Linked DNA regions of Daphnia pulex. The protein of the gene in region 4 purifies or fractionates together with the protein of the main gene of each other region. This does not show direct contact. Links are inferred from orthologs where the notes say so. Each region holds a gene or a part of one and is shown on either strand. Other genes may lie near its edges.

Evidence for each region.
Region 1: the proteins of pescadillo homolog (region 4) and probable ATP-dependent RNA helicase DDX27 purify together in Homo sapiens (affinity purification with mass spectrometry; 4 studies listed by BioGRID and IntAct, counting the BioPlex papers as one, with this or other methods). This does not show direct contact. The link is inferred for Daphnia pulex from reciprocal best matches to the Homo sapiens genes PES1 and DDX27.
Region 2: the proteins of pescadillo homolog (region 4) and ribosome biogenesis protein WDR12 homolog purify together in Homo sapiens (co-immunoprecipitation; 7 studies listed by BioGRID and IntAct, counting the BioPlex papers as one, with this or other methods). This does not show direct contact. The link is inferred for Daphnia pulex from reciprocal best matches to the Homo sapiens genes PES1 and WDR12.
Region 3: the proteins of pescadillo homolog (region 4) and nucleolar complex protein 3 homolog purify together in Homo sapiens (affinity purification with mass spectrometry; 3 studies listed by BioGRID and IntAct, counting the BioPlex papers as one, with this or other methods). This does not show direct contact. The link is inferred for Daphnia pulex from reciprocal best matches to the Homo sapiens genes PES1 and NOC3L.

What each region holds. Positions count from the first base shown.
Region 1 is NC_060018.1:13,199,205-13,203,325, forward strand, and holds the start of probable ATP-dependent RNA helicase DDX27, read left to right. Parts: upstream 1-1,281; 5' UTR 1,282-1,338; coding exon 1,339-1,630; intron 1,631-1,687; coding exon 1,688-2,157; intron 2,158-2,215; coding exon 2,216-2,272; intron 2,273-2,335; coding exon 2,336-2,448; intron 2,449-2,524; coding exon 2,525-2,784; intron 2,785-2,861; coding exon 2,862-2,978; intron 2,979-3,042; coding exon 3,043-3,113; intron 3,114-3,191; coding exon 3,192-3,506; intron 3,507-3,571; coding exon 3,572-4,111; 3' UTR 4,112-4,121. Other genes in the region: enoyl-CoA delta isomerase 2-like, read right to left, coding at 1-105, 182-213. UniProt on the Homo sapiens protein: Probable ATP-dependent RNA helicase. Component of the nucleolar ribosomal RNA (rRNA) processing machinery that regulates 3' end formation of ribosomal 47S rRNA.
Region 2 is NC_060024.1:1,155,482-1,159,579, forward strand, and holds ribosome biogenesis protein WDR12 homolog, read right to left. Parts: upstream 2,808-4,098; 5' UTR 2,526-2,807; intron 2,452-2,525; 5' UTR 2,319-2,451; coding exon 2,245-2,318; intron 2,184-2,244; coding exon 2,098-2,183; intron 2,045-2,097; coding exon 1,831-2,044; intron 1,771-1,830; coding exon 1,630-1,770; intron 1,561-1,629; coding exon 1,385-1,560; intron 1,314-1,384; coding exon 1,228-1,313; intron 1,144-1,227; coding exon 897-1,143; intron 829-896; coding exon 696-828; intron 638-695; coding exon 508-637; 3' UTR 460-507; downstream 1-459.
Region 3 is NC_060017.1:6,524,094-6,528,350, reverse strand, and holds the start of nucleolar complex protein 3 homolog, read left to right. Parts: upstream 1-1,449; 5' UTR 1,450-1,581; coding exon 1,582-3,143; intron 3,144-3,211; coding exon 3,212-3,420; intron 3,421-3,482; coding exon 3,483-3,664; intron 3,665-3,726; coding exon 3,727-3,956; intron 3,957-4,026; coding exon 4,027-4,257. Other genes in the region: glutamic acid-rich protein-like, read left to right, coding at 767-1,231. UniProt on the Homo sapiens protein: May be required for adipogenesis.
Region 4 is NC_060028.1:9,972,457-9,976,787, forward strand, and holds pescadillo homolog, read left to right. Parts: upstream 1-1,472; 5' UTR 1,473-1,616; coding exon 1,617-1,640; intron 1,641-1,784; coding exon 1,785-2,128; intron 2,129-2,188; coding exon 2,189-2,450; intron 2,451-2,507; coding exon 2,508-2,646; intron 2,647-2,702; coding exon 2,703-2,830; intron 2,831-2,896; coding exon 2,897-3,156; intron 3,157-3,220; coding exon 3,221-3,408; intron 3,409-3,472; coding exon 3,473-3,588; intron 3,589-3,664; coding exon 3,665-3,991; 3' UTR 3,992-4,045; downstream 4,046-4,331. Other genes in the region: uncharacterized protein LOC124208492, read right to left, coding at 1-226, 306-363, 437-630, 805-882, 994-995. UniProt on the Homo sapiens protein: Component of the PeBoW complex, which is required for maturation of 28S and 5.8S ribosomal RNAs and formation of the 60S ribosome.

The DNA.
Region 1 (4,121 bases), on a different chromosome or scaffold from region 4:
TGATTGATGCTTGTAGAAAAACGATGAGTCCCAATGACAGAAACTAATCTTGGTGTACCTATGCATGCCATTGGTTTCATTAGTGAAAAAGATAAGCATCGATTTCTGTATTAAGTGATACAAAAAACGGTACTAAGAATAAAAGAAGTACATTTTAATAAATATTGAATAAAAACAATACCTTAAGCAATGGGCAATGCTTGGGACAATCATTTTTATAAAGAAACTAATTTTACAATTCCAAATTTAATGATATTTCAAACTGTGATTCGGACTGATTTTGACTCGTCAAGTCGTCTGCTCTCTGTTGATTGAGTTTTGCATTGCTACGTTGTCATTTTTATTTACGGAATGCTGCGGAAAAAGCGAAGCGCGAACTTACAAAAAAGCGGTAGTAAAGTAACTTTAAGCGAACTTAAAGTAAAATCAATTAAGCTCTCGTTGTAAAATCTGCACGTTTCATTTTCCTTGATAAGAGAGTAGTTTTATTTATTCAAATTTGACGTGGGTCGATATTAATACATTTTAAGGCCTGGGAATAGAGCGAAAAGATTACCTTTCCAACTCAATTCGTTGTTGGGGGTCTTGGCCTAATGGTTATGACGTTCCGGATCTATCTTGGGGGACTTCGCTTGTGATGAGCGAGGAAGGGTTTGTGACACGAACTTGCAGCATTCTGGGGAACAGTTAGTTCATGTTCAGACACGATATGAAAATCGAAAAAAAAAAAAAAAACGTCGGCACATCTGCCCTGAATAGATCTTTTTGTTTTAATTTAATTTTTATTAAATAATCTGAATGCGGGACCCTAATCGAGGGACTTGAACGAGTTGACCCCACGGTTATGCCTATTGGTTCAAGACCTTGCACAAGCGGCAACCTTTTTAAATTTGTATTTTGCTTTTATACGCTTTATTTTTTGTTTTGGAGACTTTTACTGTTAGAATAAATACAGACATGTTAATTTTTTTCATGATTGGTATTCCATTAAACAACGTGAAGAAAGTTGATTTTGGCTATTTCGTCATTTCTGATGTCGGAAGACAGCTGTAAATAAAAATATTTCCGTTAAAGTTAATTTGAAAAAATTCTTCATTCGATTAAAGTAACGATGAATATTTTAAAAAAAGTGGTTTTGACTAGTGATGCTTCTCATTACAAAGAACAAAGTTCATTTAATATAATGTATTTTATTGCGATTTAAATTAGGATTCTAAATTAACTTGACTCCGCTATCTGCGAAATTTACCTTTGGTAAAACAAGTAGAAAGAAGACAAGCTGCAAACTGGCATCCTGTCATTGCAGACGACACATTACTTTTAGTCGACTTTTAAAACATGGAGGCTACTGGCTGCACGTGGGATCTGGTGAAAACCATTGAATCCGATGACGAAAACATTCCCTTTTACGATTCATCATCTGAAAGTGAAGAAGAATTTCAACCAAAACAATTAAAACGCGATGAAATCAAGACTAAAAAAAGTAAGGAGTTCAGCCAAGAGTTTGAGTTTATTGGAAATGTCGGCGACTACAACGCCGACCCTTGGAAAGACGATGTTCAAAAATACATTAAACGGAAAGCGAAAAGCAAGACGGACGACAAAATTGCCCAAGTGCTTAAAGATAAAGGTTGTATATTATTTTCAAGTTCTTAAAAAACGTCAGCTTACTTTCTTTTGTTGACAGGTGGGGATGAAGATGGAAGTGAACAAGAAATAGAAGATGAAGTTGAAGAAAATTTGCTGTCTGAAGATGAATTGACAAAGGACAATGTACGAGATAAAGAGCGTGACAAGAAGAGGAAACTAAGGAAGAAAAAGTCAAATGAGGAAGTTGATCCAAATTTGGGGATGGGAGAGGATTTTTTTGACGAGTCGTTGCTCTATGAGCCAGCAGAGAGTTTTCATGAAATGAATTTGTCTCGTCCTCTCATGAAAGCCATTGCCTCTATGAATTTTGTTCATCCAACCCCTATTCAGTCAGCTACAATCCCTGTTGCATTACTGGGCAGAGATGTATGTGGTTGTGCTGCTACAGGAACTGGTAAAACAGCAGCTTTCATGTTGCCAGTTCTAGAGAGGTTGATGTATCGTCCCAAGGTATCAGCAACAACACGTGTCCTTGTTCTTGTTCCAACTCGAGAATTGGGAGTTCAGGTAAGATCTTACAATTGAATTTTATTACTTTACACATTTTCATACCTATTTGTATTAGGTCTATCAAGTTTCCAAGCAACTTTCACAGTTCACCAATATTCAAATAGGACTTTCAGTAAGTTTTTGCTACATTAACAATGAATCTTTTACAAAAGTCTTAGAAATTTCATTTCTTTAGATTGGTGGTCTTGATTTAAAAGTCCAAGAAAAAGTTCTTCGCGGTAATCCTGACGTTGTTATCGCAACACCTGGCCGTTTAATTGACCACTTGCGCAATACTCCATCCTTCAGGTTTTCATAACTTTTTTTTTTTAATATGTTATCAAGAATTTTGTGAAAAACAAAATTTGTCGTTCGAAATTTGCAGTCTTGAAGCCATTGACGTTTTGATTCTGGACGAAGCCGATCGAATGTTGGATGAATTTTTTATTGAACAAGTCAAAGAAATTATTATGCAATGCGGCCGTAAACGCCAAACCATGCTTTTTTCTGCCACGATGAGTAACGAAGTTCGAGATTTGGCCGCTGTATCTTTAAACAAACCCATCAAGGTTTTCGTAAATAATAACCGCGATGTAGCATTCAATTTGAGGCAGGAGTTTGTTCGCATCAGGCCAAATCATGAAGGTACTTTCTCCTATATTGAATATCCCAAGTTATTCTTTTTATTAATTTATTTTCTGATATTATTTAACATGCAACAGGTGACAGAGAAGCAATCTTGTGTGCTCTTGTGTGTCGAACTTTCCGAAACCATTGCATGGTATTCGTTCAAACTAAAATGCTTTGTCACAGGCTTCACGTTCAACTTGGATTGTTAGGTATCTATCATATTTGGCTTAATTTCAATTGTTGGGGTTTTTTAAAATAAGTTTACTATTGCAGGCATCAGAGTAGGCGAACTCCACGGAAATCTCTCACAACCGCAGCGACTGGAAGCTCTTAGAAAATTCAAGGTATGTCTTAAAATTCAAGAGTAATATTTGATTGCTAGTTCGTTCAATAATCTCGTCTCTTTGTATTATCTCTTAAAGGAGGAAGACATCGATATTTTGGTTTCCACGGACGTTGCAGCTCGTGGTTTAGATATCCCAGGAGTGCAAACAGTTATAAATTATACTATGCCACCAACTATCGAACGTTATATTCATCGAGTTGGACGTACGGCTCGTGCTGGACGAAGCGGTGTCTCCGTATCACTCGCTGGAGAAGGAGAAAGAAAAGTGGTCAAAGAAATCGTTAAAAGGGCCAACAATCCTGTTAAATCACGATTGATTCCAAACGAGATTCTTGAAAAATATAAAAAGAAATTGGCCCTCATTGATCCGGATGTGGAAAGCATTATTACGGTATGAGCACATTTCACATGAATATTTTAAAACTTGGATTAAATATCTTGTTTTTACCCCTATAGGAAGAGAAATCTGAAAGCCAACTTTCAGCAATGGAAAACCAAATCAATCGAGCTGAAAAAATGGTTAAAGTTAAAGGTGAACCTGCTGCTCCGAAGCGACAGTGGTTCCAGACACACCAGGAGCGTTTAGACGAAAAAGATCGATTTAAATTGGCCAACGAAGGAGGTGCCACAGAAGAAAGACCGAAACCTGAGAAGAAGTTGGGAGAGAATCAGAAAATCAAACGAAATGAACGAAAGAAGGAACAGAAAAAGACCAAGAAGAAGGGTGAAATGACATCTGAAGAGCGGACGCAACTGGAATTGAAAAAAGTCATGCTTATGCAAGCAAGAGCTGCCAAGAAAATGAGTAAACCGAAGAGCATGCGATTAAATAACGATGTCAGCGACGTCAAATCTACAAAAGCACCAGTCGCGAAAAAATCAGGATCGGCGTTTGCTGCAGATTTGACCGATACAAGTCAGAGATCGGTAAAAAGACTGCGTTACCAAGGAAATGTTCAAAATCGACAGCTGAAATCGAAGAAAGGAAGAAAATGAAATGATTGAA
Region 2 (4,098 bases), on a different chromosome or scaffold from region 4:
GGTTAGCTGATACCTTTTGCTGGAAATCTCGAACATACGACTCATGACTCTGAGAATACGAATTCTGCTGGTAAAACTAATACCTAAAACTATGACTACACAATTCTCCAGACCGCGTTGTTAAGCTTGCCCCCTTGCAGCTAGTAGATTGCGTCGTTGAAACTTGGAAGTGCACACCTATCCAGCTGAAGCAGAATGTATCAAGCGCTGTGACTGGTTAATATGCAATCCAATTAATTTTGTATCACTTAAAAAAATGGGTAGGAAAAAATGTATAGGATTAAAACTAGACTTAGTCCATTCGAAAAATACAGAAGAAAAAAATATTACTCGAGGCTATATTATAGCTAGTACGACGTTGCCTTGTCGGCGGTACGCGTCACTGGACTACTGACTACTCTATACACCATGTCTATACTTCGTTTTAAAGTTAACTAACGGCCAAAATAGACTAATTCATTCCAGTTTCCAAAAATTTGTTTATCTCAACTTGGTGGCAATTTTAATTTATACTTCAGATTTAAAGATCTTTAACGTATTATCCGTTGCACCACTTATTATTATCGAAGGATTTGACCAGTCAGCGCACAGGATCTTGCCTTCATGTCCCGTCATGTCGTATAACGGAGCCTTGGGACTGAAAAGAAAAATTATTTCTCATTGAATTAACACGCAATTAATTATCAAATACTTGCCTCCTACTATCCCACAACTTTAAAATGTTATCATGGCCACCGGATACGAATAATCTTTCATGTGTCGTAGACCAACAAACCGTTGATACCCATCCAACGTGTGAAGTGAATGTGGCTTTCACAATTGACCCCTCTGTCAAAAAAAAAAATTGGAAATCATTAATGAGCCTATTAAAATGGTATAAAGCGCAACAGATGTACCTTGAGATCGGGCATCATACAAACGTATATGACGATCAGCTGAAGCAGTGATAAGAGTTTGGTTTAATGGAGAACGAGAAATGCAGAAGAAGGATTTGTTCCCAACAATTTCGGATTTTAATCCTCCTAATTCAGCATCCCACAATTTGATGGTGTGATCCCAGGAAGAACTAAAGATTTCATTGTTTTCAGTCCAAACAACAGAAGATATAGCTTCCTTGTGGCCAGGCAAAGTCATCAATGGTGTCTGTATTAAATAATGATTGAAATTAGTCTGTTCTAGCTTGACTGAAGGTATAAAATGTTGCGACACTTCATACAAAACACTTACACGTCTGAGTGATTTTCCAGAACCAGTAGAGCATCCTTTTTCCTTTTCACCATCATCAATTTCGTTTGTTGAATTTGAATCAGATGCTTAAAAAAAGAAGAATTCATTAAATTTAAACAGACACCTGAATACATTAATTAGAATATGTTACACTTACTGGCAGACCAAATTTTAAGCATATTATCCCAACCACCAGTAGCAAGGAAGGATGAATTCTTATCAACATCTACACATTCAATGGAGCGCTCATGTCCTCTTCCAATATGCACACATTCAATTGCATAAGTTTCAAGGTTCATTTTCCACAGCATAACTGTCTGATCATGAGAAACACTAAAAAAAAAAACAATAATTTTTTTTTTTTAAAGCTGATTATCACTAATTCAAAGAAACTAAAAATACCTTGCAAAAGTAGCAGTTGAGCCAGTCACTTCAATCCATCGTACTCCTTTGATGGGGCCACAGTGCCCTGGAATAGTTGACTTATGAGTACCATCAGTCTTCCATATATGCAAGGTATTATCATAACACCCTGTCAGGATCCTGAAATAACTAGCATTGTACATACACATTTTAAGACAACTAAAGATATGAGTGTAATACCAGTCTTTAAAACAGTGGGAAGCAGATACCCAGTCATCATGATTCAAACTATCTTCAGGTTCTGGAGCAGGGAATCTTTCAAGGTATTCTACTTCAACTGTGACTTCAGTATTAATGTCTTTCAGTTTTAGATGTTCAATAAGTGGAAGCCTTACAAATTCTCCGCATACTAGAAAATCAAAATCTACCTCATCCCATCCTGATTCGTGTGTTTCTAAAAAACAAAATTATTAGTATTAATGATTTTGAAAATTTTAAATCATTTACCTCTTAGCAAATTGTTGACTAAAACACTTAGTGAGTCTGCTTTTATTCCAGAAGGGATTGAAAATGGAGCTTCTGGGAGAGCATATCTGTCATCAGAAAAAAGAATGAATATTTTGAGCAACAAATGGACTCGGTAGAAAGACTTACTTCTCCTGTTTCGTTACAAATCTCACTTGAATCTGGCCTTCGTCATTTAACAAGCTTCTTTTTAAAGCCGCCATTGCAAGAAATTTATGACGTTTACTTTTTAATAAAGGTTTGTTAACAGTTTAACACTCGATAATTGTGTGGTTTGGATGAGACCACTTTTGATGTTCGGTCCGCGACTCCACGTGTTCTTGCACTTTCAGTCGTCTGTAATCAAAGCCTGCTATATTTTTACAAAGCCGAAACGATAGGAATTTAAAAAGTGAAGCCTTTTCGCCTACCCTTCCTCCAAGTAAAGCTTTTGACTGCCATCTAGTTTTTGAATAATAAACATGCAATTGTTGCATTTATCCGACATCTGACTCAAATGACGTGTGAACTGTGAAGGGGGCTAGAAATAAAATAACTCGTATTCTATCAATATTTTAAAGCTAAATCATGCAGCGACACAAAGACACGCAAAAAATCTAAAAATTGTTCCCGTCTTAGTGAGTCTACGCGAGTCTACCAGGAGTCTACGGTCTAGGCCTCTGAAGTCTAAAGACTATAATAAGCCAGGCTCCAAAGCGTCTTTTGGTGGTTTGCGACGCAATGCCAATGAGACGTGGCACCATATCTTCAACTGACTGGCCCAATTCCAGAATTGAATTACATCGATCATTTCCTCTATCAAAATTTTTATAGAAGATTTTTTTTTTTTTTTTTTTTGTTTTTGTTTTTAATTTAAATTTTCTGTACAGAGAGAAAAAAATGTTACACTATGTGCCAAACTCATGGAACGATTTGCGCGAACTGCACTTATAGTTGGGCGGCAACCTGTTCAATACCTTCGTTCATTAACTTCCTTGTCAGTCAGCACCAAACTTAATTTTGACGCTTAGTCTAATTTCAGTAGACGAACCAGTGTAAAGTTTTACTGTTTTAGTTTAATTTCAATAGGCGTCAAGGAATTGAACACTAAAAAAATTCTCGATCAAGTAATGGCCAGTTGTTAAACGAATAAAAAAATTCCACCCATTCATTGGGTAAAGTTGAAGTTGTCTTATTATTTTAATGTATTAATCGACGGGAAGTTCCGCCATATGTCATGCAAGAGATTTAATGCCTTTTTGAAATTTTGATTATTAAATCATTTATCGCTAGGCTTTAGAGCTAACGGTTTGTAACAGGTTGTAATAATGAGAGCTGGACTCTCATCCCTCACTCGAAATCTTGATTGTCGTTTGATTCCAATAGACGCGACTAGGTAGCGCCTCTGTCGACCGCTGCCCGCAAAATTGTCGGCAACGGCGGTTTCCGTTGAAAAGCAGCGCCTCTACCGACCACTAGCGGAGGGTGACAGGTAGATACCAGATAAGTTGAAGGGGGTCGGGTGGAAAAGGTGACTATTATACATAAAATCATGCCTACTTTTGTTAGCTGTCATTGAAAAAGCGTTTCCTGTAAGCATAGTTTTCCTGAGGGGTGTAAACTAAAAGAATTACCCCCATAGCGGTATAGACCGGTAGTCAACTCCCAAATCGGAGTTGATTTAAGAGTCTCTCCCCGTCATGAAAATAAATAACGAGGGCATGCAATACTATCGTTAAACATTTCTTTATTTTTCTTGCCGATTTACATGGGCAAATTCACTTTCCACAACCCTAGACAGTTATCGTCGTTTGTATAATCAAAGCTCACTTTTTAAAATTTCAGTTTTCATTCCGTTTGCCAACTTTAAATTTCATTATTTTCGGGGGGATTTCCCATGGGCAACAAAGGCAACGCAATGCAAATAAGGTACTTTTCATAAAATTGCAAGTTACGGAAAGATTCAACGAAATATTTCAAGCATTACAAAAAATGAGCTATGAT
Region 3 (4,257 bases), on a different chromosome or scaffold from region 4:
CCTTGCGTCATTCTCTGCTCTAGCGACCGGGGGGATGGTGTGGCGGTTCCGATTTCTTTGTAAATTCCTCGGACGGAAAAGATTTTGTGGAGTAGCATTTCTCTCTCTGCTCAACATCAAAGGCCGTCGCAACGAAATAAAATTAAAAACCACCATGCGGCGCAGTAGGAAACGATACCCACACACACTCACGTTCTCTAGCGGAAAGTGTCATCAGCCTGTTTTCTCGTTGAAAATATATACAAGTTCCATCAGTCTAAACGACAAACACATTTCCCTTTTTTTGTGTTGATTTTATGCGCTGATGGCTAGGCGCCAGATGGTTCAGTCATCGTCGCTGTTAATGTCGTCCTTAATTAGTTTTTTTGTTTCTTTCCTTTGGCCAAACTTATTGTTAGGGGATGGCTAGCGCTCGTTAGCGCTTGCGTTCATTAAATCTTGTCAAGGCCATCTAGCGGCGAAAAGTAGACGTACAATTTTCTGAAGCGGAATTTTCAATTTGACAATGCGGGATGGAATTCTAATTAATAAACCATAAATGTGTAGGCCTCTATGAATCCCTAGTAGCTCTGTTGACTAGGACTTCTTATTATTCGTGAATTAAATTAAAAATAATTTTGTATAGAACGTCGCCAAGTCGTAAGTTTTAAGATTTTTTCAGTTCGTTGCTACGACGAATCGCAGTAGTTGGTCTTGTTGATACCCTATTAGTGTCGTTATTCGTATAGTTTGCGCGATCGAATTACTTTTGTGAATTATTTACACCATGGAAAGAAAGGAGATCACAACTAAAATTTGTTGCGAAACTGCCAAAGAAAAGAAAGGAATCGATGCAAATCCCAAAAAGAAACAAGTGACCTTAACAGTTCAAAGCACTGAATCACCGATGGCTTTGAAAACGACCACTATTGCTGCATCAAGAGTTATCAAGGCTAATAATGAGGAACCGGATTTATCCATGACTTTACAAGGACGGAAGAAAGAAGATCGTGAGTTTAAAGACGAAGAAGGAGGTTATGAAGATGACCAAGAAGATAATGCTGTTGAAGATGTGGAGGAGGACGAAAACGTTTTCAAACATCGTGAAGAAGAGCGTGAGTTTGTGGAAGAACAAGGAGGCTACGAAGATGATCAGGAGGATAATATTGAAGATGCGGAAGATGAAAATGGGTTTACTGAAATGGATGAAGAAGGCGGATACAAAGACGAAGACGTGGGTGAAGAATGTTGAGAGGTTTCTATTGATTGGATTTGTCATGCTTCATTATTCAAAGTGATCATAATGTGTTGTCAACGCATAGTTATAGTAGACAGTTTTATTCCTTAATAAAAATACAAAGCGAAGCATTTTTTTATAAGGATTCACTTTTGTTTCGTTATTCATTTTTATCATTTCCCACCAAAACATCAGCGAACTCTAGCGATAGATCGGTAAACTAAGATCAAAACTTCACGTGGTAGTTTTCCAAAAGACGTCTGTCTACCAGTTGACTGAACAGTGAACACAATTTATTGAATTTAATTTGTGTTTGAATAAAAGTTTATAGTTTATCCAAGTTTGTCATCATCCGGTAACTGAAAATGGCAAAAAAGGGTGCCAAGAAAACAATGGTGGTGAGCAAAACGAAAAGAGCCAGCCACATGAAACACAAAAAAACTTACAAGGCAGGTGCCAGAGTTCGCCAACCATTCGTTAAACCGAAAACTCAACTGGGAGATAAAACCCAACCGAACAACAGCCGGCCAAATCAACAGGCAAATAAGAAAAATCCCGTAGCTTCTATTCCAGGGTCAAATAAGAAAAAGAAATTCAACAATGAGAAACCTATTCCAAAAACTGAAGAAATTGTTCAAGATGATTTTGATGCAGATGAAATGATGGACATGATGGACGAAGAAGAAGTCAGTTTCTTTAAAACAAAGGCTTCCAATATCCAACAAAAGAATGCCAATGCAGGAAAGAAACGAAAAATTGAAGAACACAATGGTGAGACAGTTGAAGAGGAGTACAATGAGGACCTCTATAACAGCGAGTTGACGAAGAAGAAAACAAGACACCTCCTTCCAATCAAGACCAAGCAGGGCATTGTTGAACAGACGATTGAAGTTGACTACCAATCTTCTGACGAGGAAGAAAAAGACGATGAAGATGCTGAAGAAGAAGAGGAAGCCCCTAAAAGCATGGCAGAAATGTATGCAAGGCGAAAACAGAAAATTGAAGACTTGAAGGCCCTGATTGGTTCCTCATCAAGCAACATTTTGGAAAATCCTGATGAGCGAATGGAGCATATCAGTGCTGTATTGAAACTATATGCCACTCTAACTCCAGATATTTTCATTACCGGCTTCAAACTAATTTCTGCTAGTCTTGTGGAACTCTTCAAGGATTTGGCACCTGGATTTGAAATTAAAATGACTTCTAAGCCTGGAGAAAGACTGAAGAAAGCCACCAGAGAAATTTACGGGAACGAAGCTCGTCTGCTTAAATATTACCAGATGTTCCTCAAGAAGCTAGAAGAAACTCTTTCTCCATTGAAGGAGATGAAAAAGAAAAAAGCCATTGATGAGTCCACTAGGAGAGTGGCAGTTTTTGCATTGAAATGCATGAGCGACTTGCTGGTGTCTATGCCACACTTTAATTTTGCCAAAAACATTGTTCACGCTTTAATTCCGTTTACTGCTCACAAAGTGGACGATGTACGCTTTTTGATTTGTTCAGCATTCAAGAAACTCTTCAAAGACGACAAGAAAGGCGAGATTTCTCTACACGCAGTTCGACAAATCAATCACCTTATCAAAAACAAGCGACACCACCAGATTCCACCCGATTGCCTCGACATCCTAATTGCGTTACGTATCAAGGACGTTAATTTAGATCGGGAAAGGGAGGAAGAAATTAGTAGGTACAAAACCTTGACTCGCAAAGAAAAAATCCTCATAATGTCGAAGAATGAGCGACGTCGAAGAAAGAAGATTGAGCGGCTGGAGAAAGAAGTCGTCATTGCCAGAGCAGAGCATAGTAAAGGCAGTAAAACTAAATATCAGACAGAAACGGTCAAGTTGGTTTTCACCATCTATTTCCGCATCCTTAAAATGGCACCGAAATCCGGTTTGATGGGTGTCGTGCTTCAAGGATTGGCAAAGTATGTTTATATTTTTTTAAATTTTATTTTGACAAAGGTAATTTCTGATTATTTCTCTTTTTACGTAGGTTCGCGCATACGATCAACGTGGACTTTTTCACCGACTTGGTTGAAGTTTTCAATAACCTCATTGCAAATGACCAGCTTGATTACCGTCAGTGTCTGTACGCCATCCAAGTAGTGCTCATTATGCTCTCGGGTCAAGGAGAAGCCCTTAACATCGATCCCATTCATTTCTATTCTCACTTGTACAAAGTTATCTTTAGTCTTACTGCTGGTACGTAGCATTTATTTCATTTATACCGATTAGTTTGTCATTAACTTTGCGCTTGAATGTAGGCCCGTCGAATTCTAACGTTCCGATCGCAATTGACTGTCTGGAAAACATGCTCATAAAACGAAGGAAGAAGGTTTCAATCCACCGAGTTTTGGCCTTCACAAAACGAGTATCGACTCTAGCTCTTCAAGTCCAGCATAACAGCAGTATAAGCCTGCTTAGTTTGGTCCGCGTTCTTATGAGTGTAAGCATTTCCCTTTCTTTACTCACAACAAGATTCAGAATAACTTTTTTATTGTTATGCAGACTCATAAACAAACAGACATGCTGCTGGATCTAGATACTTCTTCCGGCAGCGGAACTTTTTTGGCAGAATTGGAGGAGCCCGAACATTGCAACGCAGGCAGTACTGCTCTATGGGAACTCCATTCACTCGTGAGGCACTATCACCCAGTTGTGGGAAAATTCGCTAGACACATCCTGCTCAAAAGCCCGACTACTGGAAATGGGGCGTTATCGATGGAATTGACTCGCAAGTAAGTCGTACTTTCATGATGATTTCTGTCGCTCTTTAATAGGCTAACATTCTAAACTTTATTTTATTAGGACACCATTGGAATTACACACGCAATATGATCCGTCGCTACTTGCTTTTCTGCCTGCCGTGCCGGGTCCAGCATCAACCCCTATCAACTTGAAAAAACTGAGCGCAGAGGAATTTCACAGTTCAGAACTTGAGGCATTCGTTTCAAAAGTATTGAATACTGATCACATGAAACAGTGGGAGGACGATAACACTGCACAGCAATTGGCTTCAGCTACAAATGGTGTACATAG
Region 4 (4,331 bases):
AGCAATGTTTTCAACAGGATAAAGTGCGTTTACGACACGCTTATCTCTTGAACCATGATATGAAAAGACGTTCAATTTGGAAGCGTTCACAGGCAGGTAGGTTAAAGGAATAATGGCAGTTCCGTTCCATCGTTTGCCACTCCTGTATGCCTTGTAATTTATCAACATTCCGAAACGAATCGTGTGTCGATACCCATTCAAGAGTAATACAAAGTGATGGCCCCACCTGATTAAAAATTTGAACTTCCATTAATCTAGTAGCAAACTAAACTAGCCATTGCTCAACCGTGTAAAAATGTACTTACGCTCCCAGCTGAATTTCAATATACTGGTGTAGATCGTTCAAGAAGAAAATTTTTACCACTAGATCAATTAAATGAAAATAATACTTTACACTTTCAGAAAATTAATAGACAAAAGTTAGTAGAGTACATACATTCATAATCCCAAAGCCCCCATTTTGGTTCACCTACATCACCAGGTGTGTTTGGAGGAGGGTCATCGTAGAAAGGAGCTTGAACAACAATTTTGAATGACTTAGAATCATGTTTCTCCAAATTTATTATGACTTGATCAGAAGAATCAATTGTCATGTTATTCCATGATGTTTTTATAACATACTCTGCAGCACTGTAAGTAAATAAAGCAATATAATTATGAATGATTGCCATGTTTAATATAATTTTGGTCAAGTTAATACTGCATGACACAAGACACATCTGGACCAAGTCGATATTCAATATTCATTATGCCCATGTCCTAGAATAAACAATTCAATTGCAAACCAATCAATTGTTTACTTACTTTGTGTTTGGTAAATGAACTGAGATCATAAAAAGTAGCCACAGAAAAATGAATGATTGATTCACATTATGCAATCCCCTATATTAATCAAAACAAACATTTGGTTAATACAACATAGGGCAAATAGATTGTTATGTAGTATTTGAAAACTACAGTATACAATAATGTATCATTACATATAATACCTACATGTCCAGTAATTAGTATATGCCTTTAGCTTTCAAGCAGTTTCAAGTTTCAACAGCCTCTGCCTAAGAAACGATTTTCTTTGAATAGACAATGTTCTAGGCTTGGCAATCTGTTTTATTTGGCTAACAAACCTTGCGTCACTGATAAGTGATAAATACGAAATACGAAATTACGAATGTTGATAACTTTTTCTTTTCATCTTTTTCAAAGCAAATATCAATATTAGAGGCCAAGTCGCCCAAGATATTTCACAGTTTCACTATCTGTCAAATCCATACTGCCATGAGTGCCATCTATTGAATAATTAATATAACTTGCTTTTCAATTAAAATCTTATAAGATTTTATTTTATAATGACCACATTTAGTAAATTTATGTCGAAAATAATTTTATAGAATGATAAATTTATAAAATCCCAATTTTATTGATGTTTTATCGGAAACGTTGAAATGTTTTCTCGGCCTTTTTGAACTAGAATTGTCAACTACCGATAGTCCGATACCGTCGTCTGCTTGTCATAAAGTTTGGCTTTTCGGTGCACGTGGTCGCTTAAATACGCAATACGATCGAGCGTATGTTCTTTTGATCCGTTTAATTGAAATAGCATATAACAAGCATAAAAAATGGGAGCCCGTATGAAGAAAAAGGTTTGTTGCCAAAAGAGTTCATATTATAGATGTAGTGTTGTATCTTTCATGTTGTCTGCCACTGTCTAAAATATGCACATGTGACGTGTCATGCCTTAGCAAAGAGAAATAGAACGTGATGAAAACTAATTATCCTTTAATTAGTACGAAGCAGGTGAAGCTACCAAATATATAACAAGAGCTCAAGCCTTGAAAAAGCTGCAACTAAACTTGAAAGACTTTCGGCGCCTTTGCATCTTGAAGGGTGTATACCCACGTGAACCCAACAACAGAAAGAAAGCCCAGAAGGGAAAGCTTGACAAGAAGACCCTGTATTATGTGAAAGATATCAGATTTTTGAGCCACGAACCTCTGATATGGAAGTTCAGGGACTTCAAAATCTTCATGAGGAAGATGAAGACTGCGATGGAGAAAGGTGATAAAGAAACTGTAGCAAGGCTGAAAGATAACAAGCCTAGCATGAAGTTAGACCATTTGGTAAAAGAAAGGTAAGAAATGGTAATAGATAATAAAATGTTCACTGTCTATTGATTAATTTATCTTCTTAGATACCCTTCATTTCTTGATGCACTCAATGATCTGGATGATTGTTTGACCCTCTGTTTTTTCTATTCGACTCTACCGCGAGACACCAAAGTTCCGGCGAATCTGATTTCACTTTGTCGCAGGCTCACCGTTGAGTTTTTACATTATGTTATTGCTGCCAAAGCTTTGCGCAAAGTCTTTATTTCAGTTAAAGGCATTTACTACCAAGTAGAAATTAAAGGACAGCCTGTGACAATTCTTATTAACCATCTAAGAGGGTTCAAGGTAATGTCTATCTACCAAATAATTTGAGTGTCATTCTAATCTCTTCAATTTCTTTAGCCCACAACAGCATCGGATGTTGATTATAGGATCATGACAAATTTCGTCGATTTTTATACTTCAATGCTTGGATTCATAAACTTCCGACTCTACCACTCCATTAATCTTCAGTATCCGCCGAAACTTCCGGGAATTAATAGTAATATTGTTTATATTTCTTCATTAATTAAATAAACTTACAAAAATAATTTGTAGTTAACGAAAATGCCGCGGATGAAGATGCTACTGAAGAGTACAACGAACTGGTAGCAGCTTTGAATACGAGTCTTGTTGCAAACGTACCCGAAGCAGAGGAAGAACTTCAAATAGACGAATTTCCATCGGTAAAAAAAATAATAATCTTTTTAATAATTATTGTTTTTGTTCTAAAACTAGCATTTATTCAATAGGCTGATGGACAGGATAAACTTGATGAAGCAAAGCGTGAGGCGGAAGCAATTGAGCGAATGAAGTATCTTTTCAAAGGTTTAAAGTTTTTCATTAGTCGCGAAGTTCCACGTGAATCGGTTGTTTTCGTGATCCGAGCGTGCGATGGTGAAGCTTCGTGGGATTCCTCCATATTTGCGGGCGCCACATATGATGAGACAGATGAAAGCATTACACATCAAATTATCGACAGACCTTCCGTCGAAAAACAATATCTTTCTCGGTAATTATTGCTTGGTTTTTATTTGTGTCAGTACTGCGCATCTAACCGCTTTTCTTCACGACAGTTATTACATCCAACCCCAATGGTTGTTTGACTGCATCAACTTCCGTCGATTACTTCCGGTGGAAGACTATTTCATTGGTGCTAATCTGCCACCGCATATCTCGCCCTTTGTTACTGAGCGTCTTGGTGACTACATTCCTCCTGAGCGACAGGTACTCCTGGCTCTAGAGCGCGGCGAAACCCTTCCAGGTATGCTTTTACTTGTCCTTTCGTACTGATTAAGCTTGCTAAATTAATGCCTTGTGATTACTAGCTGAAGAGGAAGAGGAAGAAGAAGAGGAGGAGGAGAGTGAGGATGATAGCAGTGAAGAAGAAGAAGATAGCAAACCGAAAAAGAATGAAACCACAAAGTCTCAAGTCGTTAAGGAGGTAATGACGAGTTTGTTTTTTAACGATGTTTCTGAAAAAGCAATTAAATGTATTTTTACAACGATGTTTCTCGCAGAAAAAAGGCATGAAGGTAATGAGAGGTCGCGTTGAAATGCCTGACATCAAGGGTATGGACGAAGAGGAAAAAGAACACTACAAATTCCGTGAACTTATGATTCGCAACAAAGACAAACGATTGTATCGCTCCATGATGAAGAATCGTAAGAGCCGTGAACGCGAAGCTAAGCGTTTGGAAAACAAACGCAAGTTCCACGAAAAGGAAGAAAAAGCATTGAAGAAAAGTACGTCTACTGGGAAAGAACTGACCGCGAAATGGTCCATTCAACCCCTATCGTCCACGACCTCAGACACGCAAATCAAGAAAATAAAGAAGGATGCGTAAGTTGTCGTATTCTTCTCCCTTTTTTTGTCTTAATACACGCTATTGTGGAAACAATCTCTGAAAGGCGTTTAGTATGAATACGGCAATTATGGAGTTAATTGCGGGCCTAGCAACACCTTTGTTGTCTTGTTTTTAACGCGTTATGACTACGACCAATTTATAAATGCATGCATGCGTACTTCCATGAAGCTTCCTTTTGGGGGGAGGGTTATCGAACATTTGCCTTTGCTGCTGGCAGTGCTGGCCTCCTTAACTGGGCCACCGGGATGCCTTCTGGCGATGACCGCAATTGGTGTTCCCTTTTTTTAGTGGGAAAACCAGTGTATGGAGCCCTTGGTAT